3 linked regions of the Caenorhabditis elegans genome follow. The protein of the gene in region 1 purifies or fractionates together with the protein of each later gene. This does not show direct contact. Each region holds a gene or a part of one and is shown on either strand. Other genes may lie near its edges.

The links. Proteins that work in one complex are often made in the same cells at the same time.
Region 2: the proteins of mev-1 (region 1) and nduf-11 fractionate together in Caenorhabditis elegans (co-fractionation; one large-scale study listed by BioGRID). This does not show direct contact.
Region 3: the proteins of mev-1 (region 1) and ndub-3 fractionate together in Caenorhabditis elegans (co-fractionation; one large-scale study listed by BioGRID). This does not show direct contact.

Annotation. Positions count from the first base shown.
Region 1 is NC_003281.10:10,331,388-10,336,965, forward strand, and holds mev-1 (Succinate dehydrogenase cytochrome b560 subunit, mitochondrial), read left to right. Parts: upstream 1-2,889; 5' UTR 2,890-2,890; coding exon 2,891-2,977; intron 2,978-3,088; coding exon 3,089-3,451; intron 3,452-3,504; coding exon 3,505-3,603; 3' UTR 3,604-3,781; downstream 3,782-5,578. Other genes in the region: T07C4.12 (COMM domain-containing protein), read right to left, coding at 183-343, 818-1,091; jmjd-4 (Jumonji domain-containing protein 4), read right to left, coding at 1,139-1,271, 1,464-1,741, 1,792-2,041, 2,091-2,228, 2,281-2,401, 2,448-2,631; Apoptosis regulator ced-9, read left to right, coding at 3,785-4,036, 4,085-4,345, 4,877-5,026, 5,514-5,578. UniProt on the Caenorhabditis elegans protein: Membrane-anchoring subunit of succinate dehydrogenase (SDH) that is involved in complex II of the mitochondrial electron transport chain and is responsible for transferring electrons from succinate to ubiquinone (coenzyme Q).
Region 2 is NC_003280.10:11,342,314-11,348,898, reverse strand, and holds nduf-11 (Complex I-B14.7), read left to right. Parts: upstream 1-3,278; 5' UTR 3,279-3,283; coding exon 3,284-3,366; intron 3,367-3,446; coding exon 3,447-3,567; intron 3,568-3,617; coding exon 3,618-3,834; intron 3,835-3,893; coding exon 3,894-4,031; intron 4,032-4,088; coding exon 4,089-4,316; intron 4,317-4,834; coding exon 4,835-5,031; 3' UTR 5,032-5,178; downstream 5,179-6,585. Other genes in the region: pigm-1 (GPI alpha-1,4-mannosyltransferase I, catalytic subunit), read right to left, coding at 1-186, 235-306, 357-407; B0491.6 (DNA helicase), read left to right, coding at 1,104-1,134, 1,177-2,100, 2,152-2,424, 2,472-2,546, 2,598-2,726, 2,778-2,845; lgc-20 (Neurotransmitter-gated ion-channel ligand-binding domain-containing protein), read left to right, coding at 5,369-5,468, 6,430-6,542.
Region 3 is NC_003280.10:8,962,835-8,967,961, forward strand, and holds ndub-3 (NADH dehydrogenase [ubiquinone] 1 beta subcomplex subunit 3), read right to left. Parts: upstream 2,057-5,127; 5' UTR 2,056-2,056; coding exon 1,925-2,055; intron 1,873-1,924; coding exon 1,806-1,872; intron 1,623-1,805; coding exon 1,509-1,622; 3' UTR 1,408-1,508; downstream 1-1,407. Other genes in the region: sftd-3 (Vesicle transport protein), read right to left, coding at 1,049-1,147, 1,194-1,309; sec-62 (Translocation protein SEC62), read left to right, coding at 2,340-2,360, 2,426-2,549, 2,598-2,673, 2,725-2,837, 2,883-3,134, 3,219-3,338, 3,383-3,705, 3,755-3,820; szy-20 (SUZ domain-containing protein), read right to left, coding at 4,363-4,504, 4,559-5,127.

The sequences.
Region 1 (5,578 bases):
CCCCATTGGGGAGAAAGGTAAACACTTGGGAGGGGCAGATGTTTAATGTCCTGGAATTATTTCTCGTGACTACGACTGACAGGTTTCCTCAAACAATAATAGTTTTTATTTTTGAAAGAAGAGTATTGAAAATTCGGGAATGTTCTCGTAATTATATACAGTACACAAAAATGGTGGATTTATTATTCCTGCGGATTCACTGCCAGTACGGCCTGAGCGAGTTGTTGACGGAACTGTGCAAACGAGTCGATGTCGAATTCGAAATTGGTGTCGCCGCCGACGGTTGGCATCTGAATGTTGATCACTGGCCGGAGACTTTTAGCCACGTACGAGTTGGCGACCACTGAAAAAGATACATTTTTTAAAGAAAATTTAGGAGCACATAACGGATTCGCACAAAAATAAAGGCGGGGCGTAATTTTGCAGCCATGCGGCACGGTTATTTTCTCCTTTTTTCGTCTTTTTCTCCAGTTTTTTGTGGATTTTTTCAAAAATAAAACTTCGATTTTACTTTTTATATTCTGTTTTTTTTTTCAGTTTTGTCTAGTGTTATCCAATTTTATTCTTATACTATTGTGAGGATATTTTCATGCTAAATTTGTTGTAACCACATTAAATATGCTCATAATCGTATGATAATTAAATTGGATAACATTTTTATTCGAAAAAAAGAGAATAAAACTAGTAAAATCGAAATTTTAATTTAAAAAAAAAACGACAAAAAACAGTGAAAAACCGTGCCAGGGTTGCAAAAATAAGCCAGCCTCTTTTTCTGTGCAAAGCTGCTTTTTTGATGGGAGTTTTTTTTCTCATTTACCTATATTAACATTCCACGCGATATCTTTCTCATTTTTTGCCGATTCCGCCAGCTTTTGCTCAACTATCCTCTCTAGAGCCACTTTCTCCTCGTCTTTGAGATCTTCTGATTTTTGAATAAAGTCCGTTGAATTGATTGCATGACACGCTTTAAACAGTTCTCCATAGCGTATAATATTCTTCAAATCCTCTTGATCATCGGCAAAATCGTTCGGAAGTCGTGTGGAAGTCGTTGCACAGTCATATAAAGTCGCCAATTGTTCCTCCGAGAGCATCTGGAAAGCGGGAAATTAGAAAATTCCTGGGAAAAAATAGGAGAAACCTATAAAAAACGAGAAGCGACAGAAAATTCGAGCTGCTCAATGAAGGCAGAGCATTTGGAGCAAAAAGTTGTGGAGCAAGAGCAAATGGATAGAATGTGAGGGTGACAGGAAGGTGATGAGATACATTGCCAGCTGGAAAATTGTGGAGTTTTGGAATATATATTTAGTTTTAAATTTTAGCATCGCGGCAAAACCCAAAGCTCCAAGGAGATTTTACTTTAAAATACCAAAAATAGACTAAAATTCAGAAAATCTAAAAGGAAAGACGAATTAATTTGCGAAAGAACTCAATTTTGGATAATTCTCTCTAAAATGAGAACCTACATCTTTGAACCATGGGCTTCACATTCAAATAATTCCCCAACTTCATGACTTCTAGATTCTTTTACAAGCTCACACAGCTTTCGAAACTTTGAATTATTAAGTCTAGCGTCGGCGAACAACACAAGATCCACTTTTTCTTCAAATTCCTCGGCGGAAAACAGATCTACACAATCCTGGAGCTCCTCACGAACATCTAGCTCCCTCCGGCTCAAAAACTCCTGTACTAGATGAAGATTCGTGCTGTTCATCCAGTTATGATTGATGGAAATTGTGTCTTCCTGGAATTAAATGATGTCCTTCTAAACTGAGAGATAAATAGTTGATATACCAAATTGTGGGCCTGATGGTACCAATTAGATGGGACAAACACAATTTCTCCGGGCTCTTGAACGAATTTTATCACTTTTGCCTGCTCGAATAGCCGTTCATACTCCCGAATGTCATCCACAAACCCCGACTCTGTAACGCTGCTCCGAAACAGATTTTCACTGCCTGGGGGCATCATAAACCACTGTTTTCTGCCGCAAATATTCGCTGACCAGCTATGCGATGAAACTACGTCGGAATGAAGTTTTGTCCTAGAAAGTTTGAGGGGATTTCTAATTTTTAAGAAAATTCCAAGGCTACCAGGATCCAGAAGCTCCGATATAAACGAATCGATAGTCGTCACCAAATGGATTTTCCGATTTCTCACTAGTCCATGGCTCACAATTTACAAAATCTCGAGAAAAGAAAGGATGCAAGGAGTATGAAGAGGTTCCGAATCTAAATATTTTAATTTAAAAAAATCAATTTCGAATTGAAATTCAACTCCTACTCGTTTTGAAAATGCCAATCCTTTAAGTAAACTTCTGGATCGCCCATTTCTTCCAGAAATTCCTTCAAAGTAGTGGTTTTGTACTGATTTCCTCCGCAAAGAATAGGAACTTTCGAATCTCCTGGAGCGAAACGGGATTTTCATAACAAAAAACTATCCAGACAAACCATAGGACTTTTTCAAATATTCCTTATTTGGCTGTCCATTTGGAAGCACCCAATCTTTAACGGCTGTCCAGCCAGAAGTGCTCCACTCGCCAAGGATAAAAGGCTCATTTTTGAAGCCGAATTTTACTAAAATCTCTAGCCATGGAGTCGATGGATCAGAAATTCGAGGAATTTTAGATTTCATCTTGAAATTTGCAATGGAAAAAATAATTATTCAAAGAAAATCACAGAAAATGCAACAAAAAAAACAAAAAAAGAACAAAAAACAAGTCGAAAAGTGCGCCCGGGTCGTTTGCTGACGCATCTCTTCAAACGAGACGCGCTGCTGGCGCACTTCTCGTGCCCTGTGCGTGCATTTCCGCAACAAAATTCAACACTTGTTTTGAAACGCACCGCCCTGTTTCTTTTTTCAATTTTGATAAGAAAATCAGCATTGTTTCAGGATGATTAACATTCCAACTGCGATTCTGTGCCGCTTGGGCGCCAGATCGTCGATTTCCCGCTCCTTTGGAACATCGATCGTCACCAAGGTGGGGATTTTTTGAATTTTTCCGTGAAAATTGTTGATTTTTTGTGTACGCATGAAGGAGAAATGTATAACAGACACATTCTTTTCAATTAATTATTTATAATATTCACAGTCCGAGGCAAAGACGCCAATCCAGAAGTTCGGATGGGAATACCTGTTGAAGCAGCGCTCCAAGAATCGCCCAATCGCTCCACATCTCACCGTCTACCAGCCACAATTGACCTGGATGCTCTCCGGATTCCATAGAATCAGCGGTTGTGTAATGGCCGGAACCCTTCTCGTCGGAGGAATCGGATTCGCAGTTTTGCCGTTCGATTTCACCGCTTTTGTGGATTTCATCCGTAGCTGGAACTTACCATGCGCGGTGACCGCTGTCTTCAAGTACATCATTGCTTTCCCCATCATTTTCCATACTCTTAACGGAATTCGCTTCTTAGGATTCGATTTGGCTAAGGGAGTCAATAATGTTGGACAGGTAGGAGTTGAAATTATTAATTTAATTGTTTTAAAATAAAAATTAATTTTCAGATCTACAAATCGGGATATCTCGTATCTGGACTTTCGGCTATTCTTGCTCTCGCCATTGTCTTCAACTCTTGCCAGAACAAGAGCAACAAGACTGCCTAGGCACAGATGCTCCGCCTTCTTTTTTCTTACTCCGCCCCAGCCCTCGACAATTCTCGTCAATTTACTTTTACCGTTGATTTCTTCGATTTTCTCTCTTTTCCGTAGATTTACCTCTCCTCTTCGTTTTTTTTTCTCTGTCTAGAATGTATATTATGATTATGAAAACGAATAAAAATTTTAGATGACACGCTGCACGGCGGACAACTCGCTGACGAATCCGGCGTATCGGCGACGAACGATGGCGACTGGCGAGATGAAGGAGTTTCTGGGGATAAAAGGCACAGAGCCCACCGATTTTGGAATCAATAGTGATGCTCAGGACTTGCCATCACCGAGTAGGCAGGCTTCGACGCGAAGAATGTCCATCGGAGAGTCAATTGATGGAAAAATCAATGATTGGGAAGAGCCAAGGCTTGATATCGAGGGATTTGTGGTAATTTTTTAATTTTTTTTTGTAAATAAAATTTCCTGCTGCTTCCAGGTCGACTATTTCACGCACCGAATCCGGCAAAACGGAATGGAATGGTTTGGAGCACCGGGATTGCCGTGTGGAGTGCAACCGGAGCACGAAATGATGCGAGTTATGGGAACGATATTCGAGAAGAAGCACGCGGAAAATTTTGAGACCTTCTGTGAGCAGCTGCTCGCAGTGCCCAGAATCTCATTTTCACTGTATCAGGATGTGGTTCGGACGGTTGGAAATGCACAGACAGATCAATGTCCAATGTCTTATGGACGTTTGGTAAGGGAGAAAATACTGAAAAAAAGTTTGCAAAAATTCGAAAATTCGCCAGAAAGGTGGCAGAAAAAACATTTGCAAAAATTGTTTGTTTTCCTTCAGGAAATCAGCAAAACTTGGTCAAAAATAGCCCAATTATGTGTCTTTTTTGAAAGTTTTCCATTAAAAAACCACGAATTTTGATCCCGGATTGTAATTTTTTTTGTTGATAAATTAGCAGAAAACTTTACGAATTCGATTAAAAACGTTATTTTCTATTCGAATATTTTTAAAGCATATTTTCCTTGATTTGTATTTGCGAAAAAGATCTGCTGATTTATCAAAAATCGGTTTTTAAATGTAAAATTTGTGGAAAATACATTAAAATTCGATTTTTGAACTTTTTTCTTCGAAAAACAGGTTTTTCTGCTGATTTGCTGAACGAAAAACCCCAAAAATTCAATTTTCGAACATTAAAAACCAGAAAAATCGTTTTTTTAAGCTTAATTTTCCGCCAGAAATGAACGAATTAAATTGCAAATTTCTAATTTTCAGATAGGTCTAATCTCGTTCGGCGGTTTCGTAGCTGCAAAAATGATGGAATCCGTGGAACTGCAGGGACAAGTGCGAAACCTCTTCGTTTACACATCGCTGTTCATCAAAACGCGGATCCGCAACAACTGGAAGGAACACAATCGGAGCTGGGTAAGGAGTATTTGCATAGACATTAGAAGTCAATATCCCCCTTTCCCTAGTACCCTTGACTTCCCGGGGTGTTGGTAAGCCGATAATTACAGGGTTCGGTAGCCTCTTGGGGGGACAGCTGGAAACATATTCAAGTATATTACTGTTTATGATAATGTTATTGTTACGGGAATACAAAATTCGCAGAATGCGTATTTCACAACATATTTGACGCGCAAAATATCCAGTAGAGAAAACTACAGTAATTCTTTAAATTTTTAAAATTTTTACAATTAAAGAAAATAACCACTAATCAAAAGAAATTAATTTCAAAAATCGAGCCCGTAAATCGACTACAGTAGGCATTTAAAGAATTACTGTAGTTTTCGCTACGAGATATTTCCGCCTCAAATATGTTGTGAAATACGCATTCACGGATTTTTGTGTTCCCCGGAATATGCTCTAAAGCATTATTTGTGAAAATAAAAAATCAAGAAAAAAATTGCAGGACGACTTCATGACACTCGGAAAACAAATGAAAGAGGACTACGAACGAGCAGAAGCTGAAAAAGT
Region 2 (6,585 bases), on another chromosome or scaffold:
CGCCACCAGGATGTCGAAAATGCAGAAGAGAATCTTTCCAAAGTCCGGGAAATGCACAACAGGCAAAAGAATCCATGCTAGCGCAGGCGTATATCGGTAAGTGGCTCTGTCGAATGGGCTTCCACCGTTTGAGACATGTTTGGCAGCGTCGGAGAACACGTGATAGTCGATGTCTGTGAAATTCACCTGAAACACTGAGTTTAAACTTATTTTGATGATGTAAAATTATCAAACCTTGAATAGATAATCGTGAATGTGTGCGTAGAAAACGAGAATTATCCTTGCCACGAATGCCACTAGTAAAATCTGGAAGAACATCATTAATTCGATGAATTCGTTGAAAATAGACAAATTACCTTATTTCGATTGAACGTTTCGTTCTTCACAAAACTCCGGACACATTGCATTTGTGGAGAAAACTGGAATATATTCGAATATATAAATGCTAAAAACCAACAAAGAATTTGTTAAAAATTGAAAAATGCAAGTGTGCTCTAGCGCAAATTTTCAACGGAGGGAACTTGAAAATTAGTTATTTTCGGGCAAACTTGTCGCAATTTTAATTGCTTCTTTCTTTCTTTAGATATCTCGCTTTTATTCATTTTTTACTAATCTTATATGTTTTGAAAGAATTATTTGTTAATCTTCATTATGTTTTCCCGGAAAAAATTAGCAAGAATCGAGTAAAACGGGTCTAAAAACGCGCTGCATATTACATGTAATCCTATTCTAGACAAACAAGTCATGCGTTTTCTTGTTATTCCCAATTTTGCAACAAGACGCAGAGACAAATTTCAAAATCATCAAAAGTCCAATAAAAGAATGCTTCCTTGCCCCGGAGACGCAGAGAATTTTCTGGCCGCTTTCGTTATTTCGTCTCTGTCTCTTTGTCCCGCGTGCTCTTTCTCGTGAATATAATCTGCGACTCTAGTAATTTTAGCACTATCTCTCATGTTCGTTTCGATTTTTGCGCCACATTCGACTTCATTTTTCGTTTTCCAAAACTTCTTTCAAAACAACTTTTTCGCATTAATTTGTTGTCTTCCTCACTCTTTTGAATTCAAAAACGAAAATTTTAAACCACCGATTGCAATTGTTACGAGATGCAAAAACCCGACGAATCGAATGAAAAACGTAAGAACAATTCAAATTATATTTTAAAATAATTATTATTAGTTTCAGATGATATTCCTTGCACATCAGCAAGCCTTCTCGACCATTTGATTCAGAAGGAAGCTTCTGCAGCAGAGGACACTGATCCCTTGGATCATATTGGCAATATAGGAGAAGCTATCATTGGACAATTTTCGTCTGGAGCAGATGTTGGAACCGAAATTCTACAAAATGCTCTCAAAATGTTCGATCAAGCAATGGCCTACACGAATCCACAGGCTCCACCAAAACGAAAATATAAACGAAAAGAAGCTCCGATAGAGGATGCTCAACCTACCACGACTTCATCAGCTACGCTAGCTTCCTTGCTCACTCTCAATCCGGTTCCAATTGAATCTAGTGCGAAAAGATTCCATCAAAATGATCTACGAGCTGGTTTTTCGCCACGTACCAAGTTCGACGTGGATTGTTCGGATTTCTTTCTTCTACAAGGATCTGATGCTGACACTCAATTCAATAATCTCCACAAGAAGCTCGAGAAGGAGAGAACGCAGATGTTTGATGATCAAGTTTCGAAAGATGTTGAACGACTTCTAAATACCGCAAACAGAGTTCACGGTCCCCGAGAATGGACTGCCGAGGAGAAAGCCGAATTCACTTCATACTGTAGAAGCTGGCGCAGTGGAGCATTAGGGGCCGATGACAAGCTGAATCTTCAGAAATTTTATTCAAAAGCGTACGGAAAAGTTTTCCAAGGACTGAGCGAAAATAAAGCTTCATCGGAGGAATCAGCTATCGATTTTTCTAATTTCATGGGTGTCGGTAGTGAAGATCCTGCTAATCAAACAGAAGACGTACCAGGTGGAAGCTGCAAGGCTTCTCCCGACAATTTCTCATTCTCTACTTTGAATCCAAGAATGAAATACGAGAAAGAGAAAGAATTTCGGTCCGCTATCAATAATATATTCACGGAAGTTTTCAAAGAATGTAAGTGAATATTGTAAAAGTTTTTATTCAAACAAAATTCTTTATTTTCAGTTCACTCAAAGAAGCAATTCATTCCCAAACCAACTCGCCTGGACGTTCCGCCGTGCGAAATCGAGCGGGAGCATTTATCAATGCTGATGTCAAAGTTCAGTATAGCTATGGACGATCCAGAAAAGGAATGGAATGTTGATGAGCTTCAGGAACTGCGTCGATTCTATACATTATTTCGAGAAAAAAATCATTTGCCATTCGTTCAAACTAAGGAATTCGGAAAATTTCTGCGTAAAGCATTTGGAAGACTAGAGCATTATGAGCTTCAACGAGGTTTTGCAATTAATTTATGGAACTTATATGATTGTTAGTTATTTCAGAAAATGACACTTCTCTTCAAGAAAAACGAAAATTTTGGCAAGAATACAGGAAAACGCATGTACCACCGAAAAGAGGTGATTTCTAAAATAAATTTTCACATTTTATCCCAATTTCGTACATTTCAGAGCGAAAAGCGTGCGCGGCTAGAACCACACCAGTAAGACCTTATATAAAATCGAATATTGATACAAAAGGAGAAACTGAAGAAGAGAGAAGATTGCGGAGAGCTGCGTATCTTCGAAAGTGGAGGCTAGGTAATATAACATTTTTGTAATAATACATTTAACAAATTATCGATTTTTCAGCTCAAAAAGAGAAGCATTCAGCAGACGTCATGTCACAGTTCAAGCACCAGGAAGATGTCGCCTTGTGATTTCTTTGTTTAATATTAATCAACTTTTTGTTCGCATCTCAGGAAATGTTCTTTGAAAAATAATTTGTTAGATAAAATTTATTTTAATCCGAATAAATATTTTATAATCTTTTTACTTATAGTTAATACAAAATTATAAACTCTAAGAGCTTTCAAAAAGCAAAAACCGCAAAATTAAATGCAAAAAGAAATTACAAATAAATCGTTTTTGAAAATCCGCGCAAGGACGAAGTATGCGCTAACATATGATTGTTGGCGCGTTTCTCATTCCTTGCGCGTTTCCCGTCTCGGCCGATTAATTTTTCAGTGTATTTTTTTCTGTTTTTGTTTATTTTATCCGCATTTGAATACATATTTTTGGCTTATCTTCTTTGGAATTTTTTGAAAGTATCTATGAACAATTTTTTATTGTTATTTATCAATCGATTTTCAGGTAAAATGGGCCACGGAGAAGAACCATTGACCGCCACGTATAAAACGCAGAGACCTCCATGGATCGGTCTTTGGAGTGATCGTGAATAGTAAGCTTTATTCTTTTTCTACTTTTGAAATTAAATCTAATTCAATAAAATATTTTAAAATGGTAAAATTTGTAATTCAGCAAGGGACGTGCCGACTGGTGGAAGGAGCCAGGACTTGAAGACTCTGTCACGCGTTCTGGAAAACTTCGTCTTTATCGTGCTCGTTTCCGTGAGGAAGATCCAGATTGGTATGATCCAAAGGTACAGTTAATTTATTTTGAGTGATATTCGCTAATTTTTTGCGTTTTCAGGTAAAAGACGGAGAATCCCTGGCCGGACCTTTCGGACTCGATTCCAAGAAGACCAAAAATCTCACCAAAAAAGGAGATCAGCCAGGAGAGCTGTCCGAATTCCAGAACAAAGTTTACGAAGGATCCCACCAGTTTAAGGCTATCGCTGAAAAGTTTGGAATCAGCAAAGAGCATCCAGGACTATCCGTTAGTCCAACCTTGAGCGATAATATGCTAAGTGAGGAATAATTAAAATTTTATTATAAGTATCCTGCTACAAAACTTTTTTATTTCCAGCTCCAAAGGACGAGTTAGGCAGAAACGCCGTGTTGCCAAACTCTTGGTATCCTGCCGGACCCCGTTTCTTCGACAGTCCACTCAATGAGGGATCTTTCTGGAAAGGACTTGCCGCCGCCAAGTATGCTGGAATTTTGTGTAAGACTAGATTAAGATTTAAAAAATGTTCACGATAATCATAAAACATAATTTCAGTGGCTCCATACACTATGCTGGAAATCCGTGCACTCAATACAGTCTCGGTATCCGAATTCTCGCCAAGAACCTATATGAAGAGATACCTCCAACTCGCTCCATTCCCATTGGCCGTTGCATTCGCCTGGGGCTTCAGTCTTTCAGCAGCCTCATCGATCCGTCATAAGGATGATGTCCATAATCATTGGTTCGCTAGTGTTGCTGTTGGATCAACCGTGGCTACCATGAGTATGTTTTGTTAAAAATTGTAAGCCAATTTGGCGAAATGATCAAAAAACGTGGTTTTCAGAGCGTAGAAAAAAATTTTAATTCTATTTAAATGATTTCTTATGTGTTTTCATCAGATTTTCTGTTAAATTCGAAGAAAATCACATGGAAAAAATTTAAAACAGAAACTAATATATTTTCGTAATTTTCCAAAATAGAAAAAAATCAATTCAAAAAATTATCTTTCATGGTAGCAGCCACATTATCATTGTATCTCATAATCAATTAGTTCTGATTCTGTCCGAAAAAATATTTTGTTCGAAATATTTTAATAAAAATTAGTCTGAAAATAATAAAAATTCGGCTTAAAATATGAATATTTATTTTTAAAATTTAACAAAATTCTCTGTAAATCTGGCAAAACTTGTACATTTTTATTTTTTAACAAATAAAAAATCTAGACACAAAATCAAAATCTGATTGTCCTGGTTAATTCCTGAAAAATTTAATTTTTCGTTTCAAAACCACTATTTTTCCAGAGAGCAACGTTGCCCTTGGAACCACTGCCGCCATCTTCACCGCCATCCTCGGAGCATTCTGGCAGTATCAACGACACTCGGAGACTGGACTCCAAGGAATGACTGCTCATCCACAATCTGCCGGAATCTGGGGAGGACCACTTCTTTGGCAGAAGATGCAACTTGGAAATGCCGATGTTCCGACCACACGATACTGATTGGATTTTTGAATTTTTTCTAGCTTCGATTCTACAATCATGTATAAGATTTTTAGTTTTCGAGAAAGAAGCATATAGCACTCAAACTTTAATTTTTTTTTTCTTCTTTTCTGCTCTTTTCCGAATAAAATCAGCGGTCATAGCATGAAAATAGTGTCTGTGAGTCGAGACACCGGGGGAACAACAACACAACGAATCGATTGTTTCACACGCTGGCTCCCCACCCCGCTCCGTTGTCCTGGTAACAACAAGAAGCGGGCGGTTCTTAAGAAGGGATACGCGTAGCAGCACACATACATACAAACTCGCATAACTTATTCCCTCTTGCTGGTCAAAAATGTCGTTTCTTGTGCTCTTTGGAGCACTTCTTCTCATTCAGACTTCTGAGCAGATGGTTCAATGCAGGTACACGAAGAATTTGACAAATCGAGCAGATGGTGAGTTTGGAAATTCCGAAATACTTTTTTTTTAATGGTTTTGGAAGGAATAACGTTGCCCACGTAACTCTCGGAAGTGAAAATTCAAATTAAAAAAATTTGCGAATTCTTTTCTTTTTTTGCATTTTGAAAACTGCGAAATTTAGCGATTATTATCGCAAAAATACGATACCCGGTCTCATCACGACAAATTTGTGTTAAATGCAGAAAAGGTGTGCGCCTTCAAAGAGTACTGTAGTACTGTAGTTTCAAACTTTCGTTTCTGCGCAATATTAATCGACTTTTGATAGAATTTCGATACTTAAAAATGCACTTTTTTATTAAATAAATTTCAAAATCTAGAGAAAATCTATGAAAAATCCGGCAGTAGCAAGAGTTTGAAGTTACAGTACTCTTTAAAGGCGCGCACCTTTTCTCAATTAACACAAATTTGCCGTGTCAAGACCGGGTACCGTATAGTTTTCTTACAATTAATTGAAAAACTGAAATAAAATACATGACTTTTTTTTTAACCCATGAATAACACAAGAAAACAATGAAGAACTTCGGTATTCTTTAAAGGTGCACATTTCTTAGAATTTTTGAAAATCGTTCGTTTCGAGACCCTCAACCGTACTTTTGGGCAAGCTTCCATCGAACCAAGGAATTACATTTCAAATTTATTTGGAGATCACGATCATTTTCTGTTTACGCATGACTGAGCGCTTTGACTCATTAGTTTTGACGGCTAAAAGTTGATATGTTGATCTTTATATTACGCAGACGTCGGAAGATGATCATTTTTTCCATATTTTTGGGTCTCGCCACGCTGAAAACAAATTACAGTAACTCGGGCCAGGGGCCAAGGGCCGCTTTTGCATGTCATTCTAATTAGAACGTGCGTGGCCGAGTTTCTCTTTTCGCGGGCACCTGGAAAATTTTTTTGGGTGGTCTCACAGCATAACCCAAATCTTTGTTTTAGGAGGAGATGAGCACTGTCTATTCTACTATCTTCTCAACAAGGAATACGAGAAATCTGGCAGCGTACACTCACTAAGCGCATATCCTCCAAATTCCGACGAAATGACGATTACTGTAATTATGATTTTCAGAGGAGACTGAAGTTTAAATATTTATA
Region 3 (5,127 bases), on another chromosome or scaffold:
AACAAAATATAAATTTCAATCTAATTGAGTTGAATTTTGCAACGGATATCTTTGGCATTTTTTTATGAATGAATACTTTAAAAATTAATACATGGAAAATTTAACAAAATATATTTTCAGATTTTTTTTTGTTTACTTTAAAAAATTACGATTTTTCGAAAACAATTTAGTCATAGTTTTGGCTCAATACCAATTTAATTTGGTTTTTTTTAGAAGTAAGAAGCATTTCGCATGTTTGGAAATTTTAAATGTTCTAAAAAAATATTCAGAACATTAAATAAGAAGTAAGATTCGTAAAAAATCCTTTTTTTGGTTGACTTCGATAATTATAAGTTTCTAAAGCTGAGTAATATCCAATTTTTGACTGTAAATTTTAAAGATATCCTTTTTTGAAATGCAATGATATTTTGTCGTTTTAACACAAAAAGAGTGATAATATTTCCCGGGCTTGCAATTTTGCGCAAAGAATACGGTGTCCGGTCTCGACACAACTAATTTAATTAAATTCAAATAGGTGCGCGCCTTTAAAGAGTACTGTAATTTCAAACTTTCGTTAATGTGAAATTTTCGTCGATTTTTTATAGCTTATTCATATTTTAATTTTTTAAATAAGTATATTTTTACCGAAAAACTATGTAAAGTCGATGAAAATTCAGCGGCAACGAAATTTTTAAACTACAGTACTTTTTAAAGGCTCACATCTATTTTTGTTTTCCAAAAAAACGGCGTGTCGATACCGGCTACCGTATTTTTGTCGCGAAAATCGTAAAATTTCGCTGATAAGTGAACATAGCTTTTGGAAATATTTTTAAAACTTTTTTCGAACTGCCAAAAAAGCGTTGAAAGTTTTTGAGTAATCTTATTATGAAATTTAAGTAATTCAAAACCATTTTGAGTCTATTAAAACGAAAACAATTTTATCCGTTTCTCATCAGTTAAAAATTGAAATATATAATATTTAATTGATATTTGCCTACTTAGGAGTATTTAATTCAAAGAAATCAAGATTTTCAGTTTATTTTTTTTTGTTTTTCTGAACAAAACATACCGATTTCTGGAAGCTGGCAATTGTCCATCTCCAGAATCATCTCCAACTAATAACTGCTGACTATCGGTTGTTTCGCTTCGGGAAAGTAGGGAAAATCCTCTGAAACTTCAAACTTTATACATTTCTTCTAAGTGAAATTTGTTACCCAATAGACGTTGGAAGCTTGTTGCGAAGTGAATCAAATGAAGAAAATGAAGCTGAACTGCTGATACCACTTCCTTTCTTCTTCTGATCATTTATGAACTGCTCTAGAGCAGACATGCCCTTTAAATTGTTGTTGTAAAACATTTATTGACATCGTTATCATAGAAACCTTTCTGGCAGAATACCAATTTTCAACGAGGGTGAATTGCGATTTTAAAAATGAATGATTTATTGGAGTTTAAGAAACTACATACACAAAAAGAAAACTTTTAAACTAAAAAAAAAGAAATCGGCTCGAGATTTGAAACAGATAATTCTAATGATGACCATCCCATGAGGTGGTTCCGTGAGTCTTGTATTGGTAAGCTTCTTCAACGAAAATCAAGGCAGCTGTGAATGCAACTCCAGCTTTCCATCCAGGAAGAATCAACTGAAATTTATTAAATAATTTTAAAAAATTCCCTAAATACATTAATATAATTTTTGGAAAATCGGCTTGCTCGGAAATTTTCCAAACAAGAGCACATTTATAGGATACAATCCATAAAAATTTTTTAATATTATGTTGGTATTATATTAATAATATTTAATTCATCTCGAAGAAAACACGAACCTTCTTGAAATGAGCCCATTGTCCAACAACGTGTGGATACTTTCGATCGTACAAGTAGACGTAGTTTCTGAAAGAAAAATCAATAATATATTTATTAATATTATCGATAAAAAACCGACCTGATCCATGGATCCTTCAATCCGATTTGAGCGAGTCGTTTTTCATGCTGCGCCAACTGTGGAAAATCGCGAAAATTGCTGTAGATTGAGTAGTTTGGGATCTTAAACGGCTCGTGATGTCCTCCACCCATTCTGGAATTAAAATAATTGAAAAAAAATGTTTTAGAAACCTGTATTATGAAAATAAATGAAGAGAACGATAAAATCAGAAAGAAATGCCAGCCGAGTTTGTGTAGATTTACGCGGTGTGTAAGCGTGCGGCAGTTGCGTTTTCCGTCAGAGCGCAACTGCGGCACACTTTTCTCAATCAATTGTCAGGAGATTTTGGCTTGTTCCAACGCACCACTTTTGTTTTGGCTGTATTTTCAGATTCTCAACATTTTTTCTGCTTTTTTAATAAAGGAAAACTTTAACCATGTCGAAACGTAATCAAAAAGTGAGTTTTTATTCGGAAAAATCAATATTAACTAGAAAAGAACGATGTTTTAATTCAAATTTCAGGGCGTATCTACGGAAGATGCCGTAAAAATGACGAAGGAGCAAGAAGACATTGCCAAATACATCAGATTCAATTGTCCGACAGCCACGACCATGTTTGAAGGAAACGAAGTTCATTATTTCAGTGGTATGTACAAATTTCAATTGTTTATATTAATATCGCATATATTTTCAGGAAATAAAGCTGTCGATACTCTTTGGGAATCCAAGTACGGAAATAAAGCAAAGAAAGATGCAATGTTTAAAACAAGGTGGGCATTCTGTAGAAATTACGTAAATTTAAATAGATTCTAAATTTTCAGAGATGATTGCTTCCATTATATTTGCGAACTCAACTCGAAACAATTATTCTTCCGTGCAAAAAAATTAGTAGCAAAGAAAAAAGAGAATAAAGATAAAGGAAACGATTCTTCTGGTAATCATAAAACTTAAAAAATATCTTAAAACACGTTTTTTTCAGCTGAAGTTACCAAATCTCCAAAAGGTGTAGTTGAAAAGAGAAATAAAAAAGCCAAAGAAGAAGAAACAGCAACCGAAGCTGAAGGTGATGAGAAAGAAGTGAAAAAAGACGAAAAGAAAGACGAAGAAAAAAAGAAAAAGAAGGTGAAGCTTCTTGTACATGAAGTTCAAGCATTCGTCGATGACAAAGATGTCTACGTTTGGGTATTCGATCCAACTCCTCTCATGAAAAAGATTATTGGAGTACTTATGCGTAAGTTTTCCCTTTTTGATTTGTTATTTCCTGCTTTAGAAATGATTCAATGTGTAAAATTAAAATCCAATTAATATATTTCAGTCGTCGGTACAATTGTCGGATGCTTGTTCCCTCTATGGCCTGTATGGCTTCGCCAAGGAGTTTATTACGTATCAATTACTGGAATTGGATGTTTTGCAGCTATCATTGTCACTGCTATACGTGAGTTGTTTCAACAATAATATTCATTTTTCGATTATTTTCAGTCCGTACTATTCTTTTCGGAATTATCTACGCTGTTACTTTCGGAAAACACAAACTCTGGGTTCTGCCGAACTTGACTGAAGACTGTGGAGTTCTTGAATCATTCCAACCATGGTATACTTATGAGTATGTTGGTGATGAGAAGAAAGAAGCTAAGAAAGATAAGAAAGATAAAAAGTCGAAAAAAGAAAAGGATTCTGATGCAGAAGAGGAGGAGCAAGACCACATTGCTGCTGAACAGGAGCAAAAAGAGGAAGAAGACGATGATGCTGAAAAAAATAGTCAGGCATCAACTGATGATAATTATGAAAAAATTGAAGACGAGGTAATCTGATAAGTGTTTCAATTTAAATAATTATAATTTTGAAATTTAGGAAATCTCTGCTCCACCATCACCAAGTGACGATGCTCCTCGAAAACGTCGTCCAGCTAAAGTCTAGAAATTTAGTTTATCCTGAAATTTTTCCATTCCACATTTCTGCATTTATGAAAACTTGTCCTGAAAATCTATTGCATTACCCTCATCCTGTCGGTTTCGTCACATTTTAAATACTATTTTTCGTCCCATTCTTCCATACTGTGATTACCCTCTTGGCTAGTTTCTTCTTTCTCAGTCACTCTTCATTGTTCTTGCATAACTAAAATCTGAATGTTTCCGTTTCGGTCCACTATTGGACATATAATAAATTGGTCTATACAAAAGTCAAACAAGATAATTTCTTCATCAAACTTGGCTCATATAACAATAGAAAATTGAATAACTTGAAACATGCCAAAATGAATGTAGAAAATAATGATATAAATATGTGGAGATGGGGGGAGAAAGAGGAAGTACGACCCGTGTTGATTAACACAATTCCGAATCGGACTGATGGAACAAGAAAAGGGAGATAAATGTGAAAAGATGACCATCACAGCACATCAAAAAGACGTGGTTAAAGCATGAATTGTCTATAGAGTGTTCGTAGAATGGAATAACAAACTATTGAGGCCGATTCTGCTGCAACGCTGGCCATTGGGATGCAGACATCATTGGATGTGGTCCAAGAATTCCAGCGCCAGTGTTTGGGGATCCATTGTTTGCGTGTTGTTCTCGAATCGCATTCACATTACGTGGTGGGCATCTGCAAAAAGAATGTTAACAATATTTTAAAATGAGCCAAGTAATTGAAACTCACCCAAATGGAATTGGATTTTGACTCATCGGAGGTTGCTGTAGATTTGGTTGATAATTGTTCTTTTGCATATCATTTCTATTCTGTCCGAATTTTCCTGATTTGTTCTGCTGCTGCTGTGGCTGATGCTGCTGTTTTCTACCATTATTCGGATTGTTCTGGTTGGAATTTCCGTTTTGGTAGAACTGACCATTCTGAGGCTGTGACGAATATGATCGCTGCTGACCTTGCTGCTGCATATTCCTATTCTGATAGTTTTGACCATTGTTGGTCATACATCTATTCTGCATTTGATTCATCAACGGCGGGGGCTTTGCTGTCGGCCCACTGTTGCATGGCATCTGATACATCATCGGCTGTCGATTCTGTCCACGACCAGCACCATTCTGCTGTGGATAACTATTCACCTGATTTCTTTGGTTCTGTTGATTCATCACTTGGCCATTTATAACCTGTTGGTGTTGCTGAGGCGGTTGATGTTGAATCTGTTGGCATTGTTGCTGTTGTTGTTGAATTTGGTGTAGTTGTCCTGCATTCATTTGATGGTGCAGTTGTCCTTGGGGTTGGAAGTT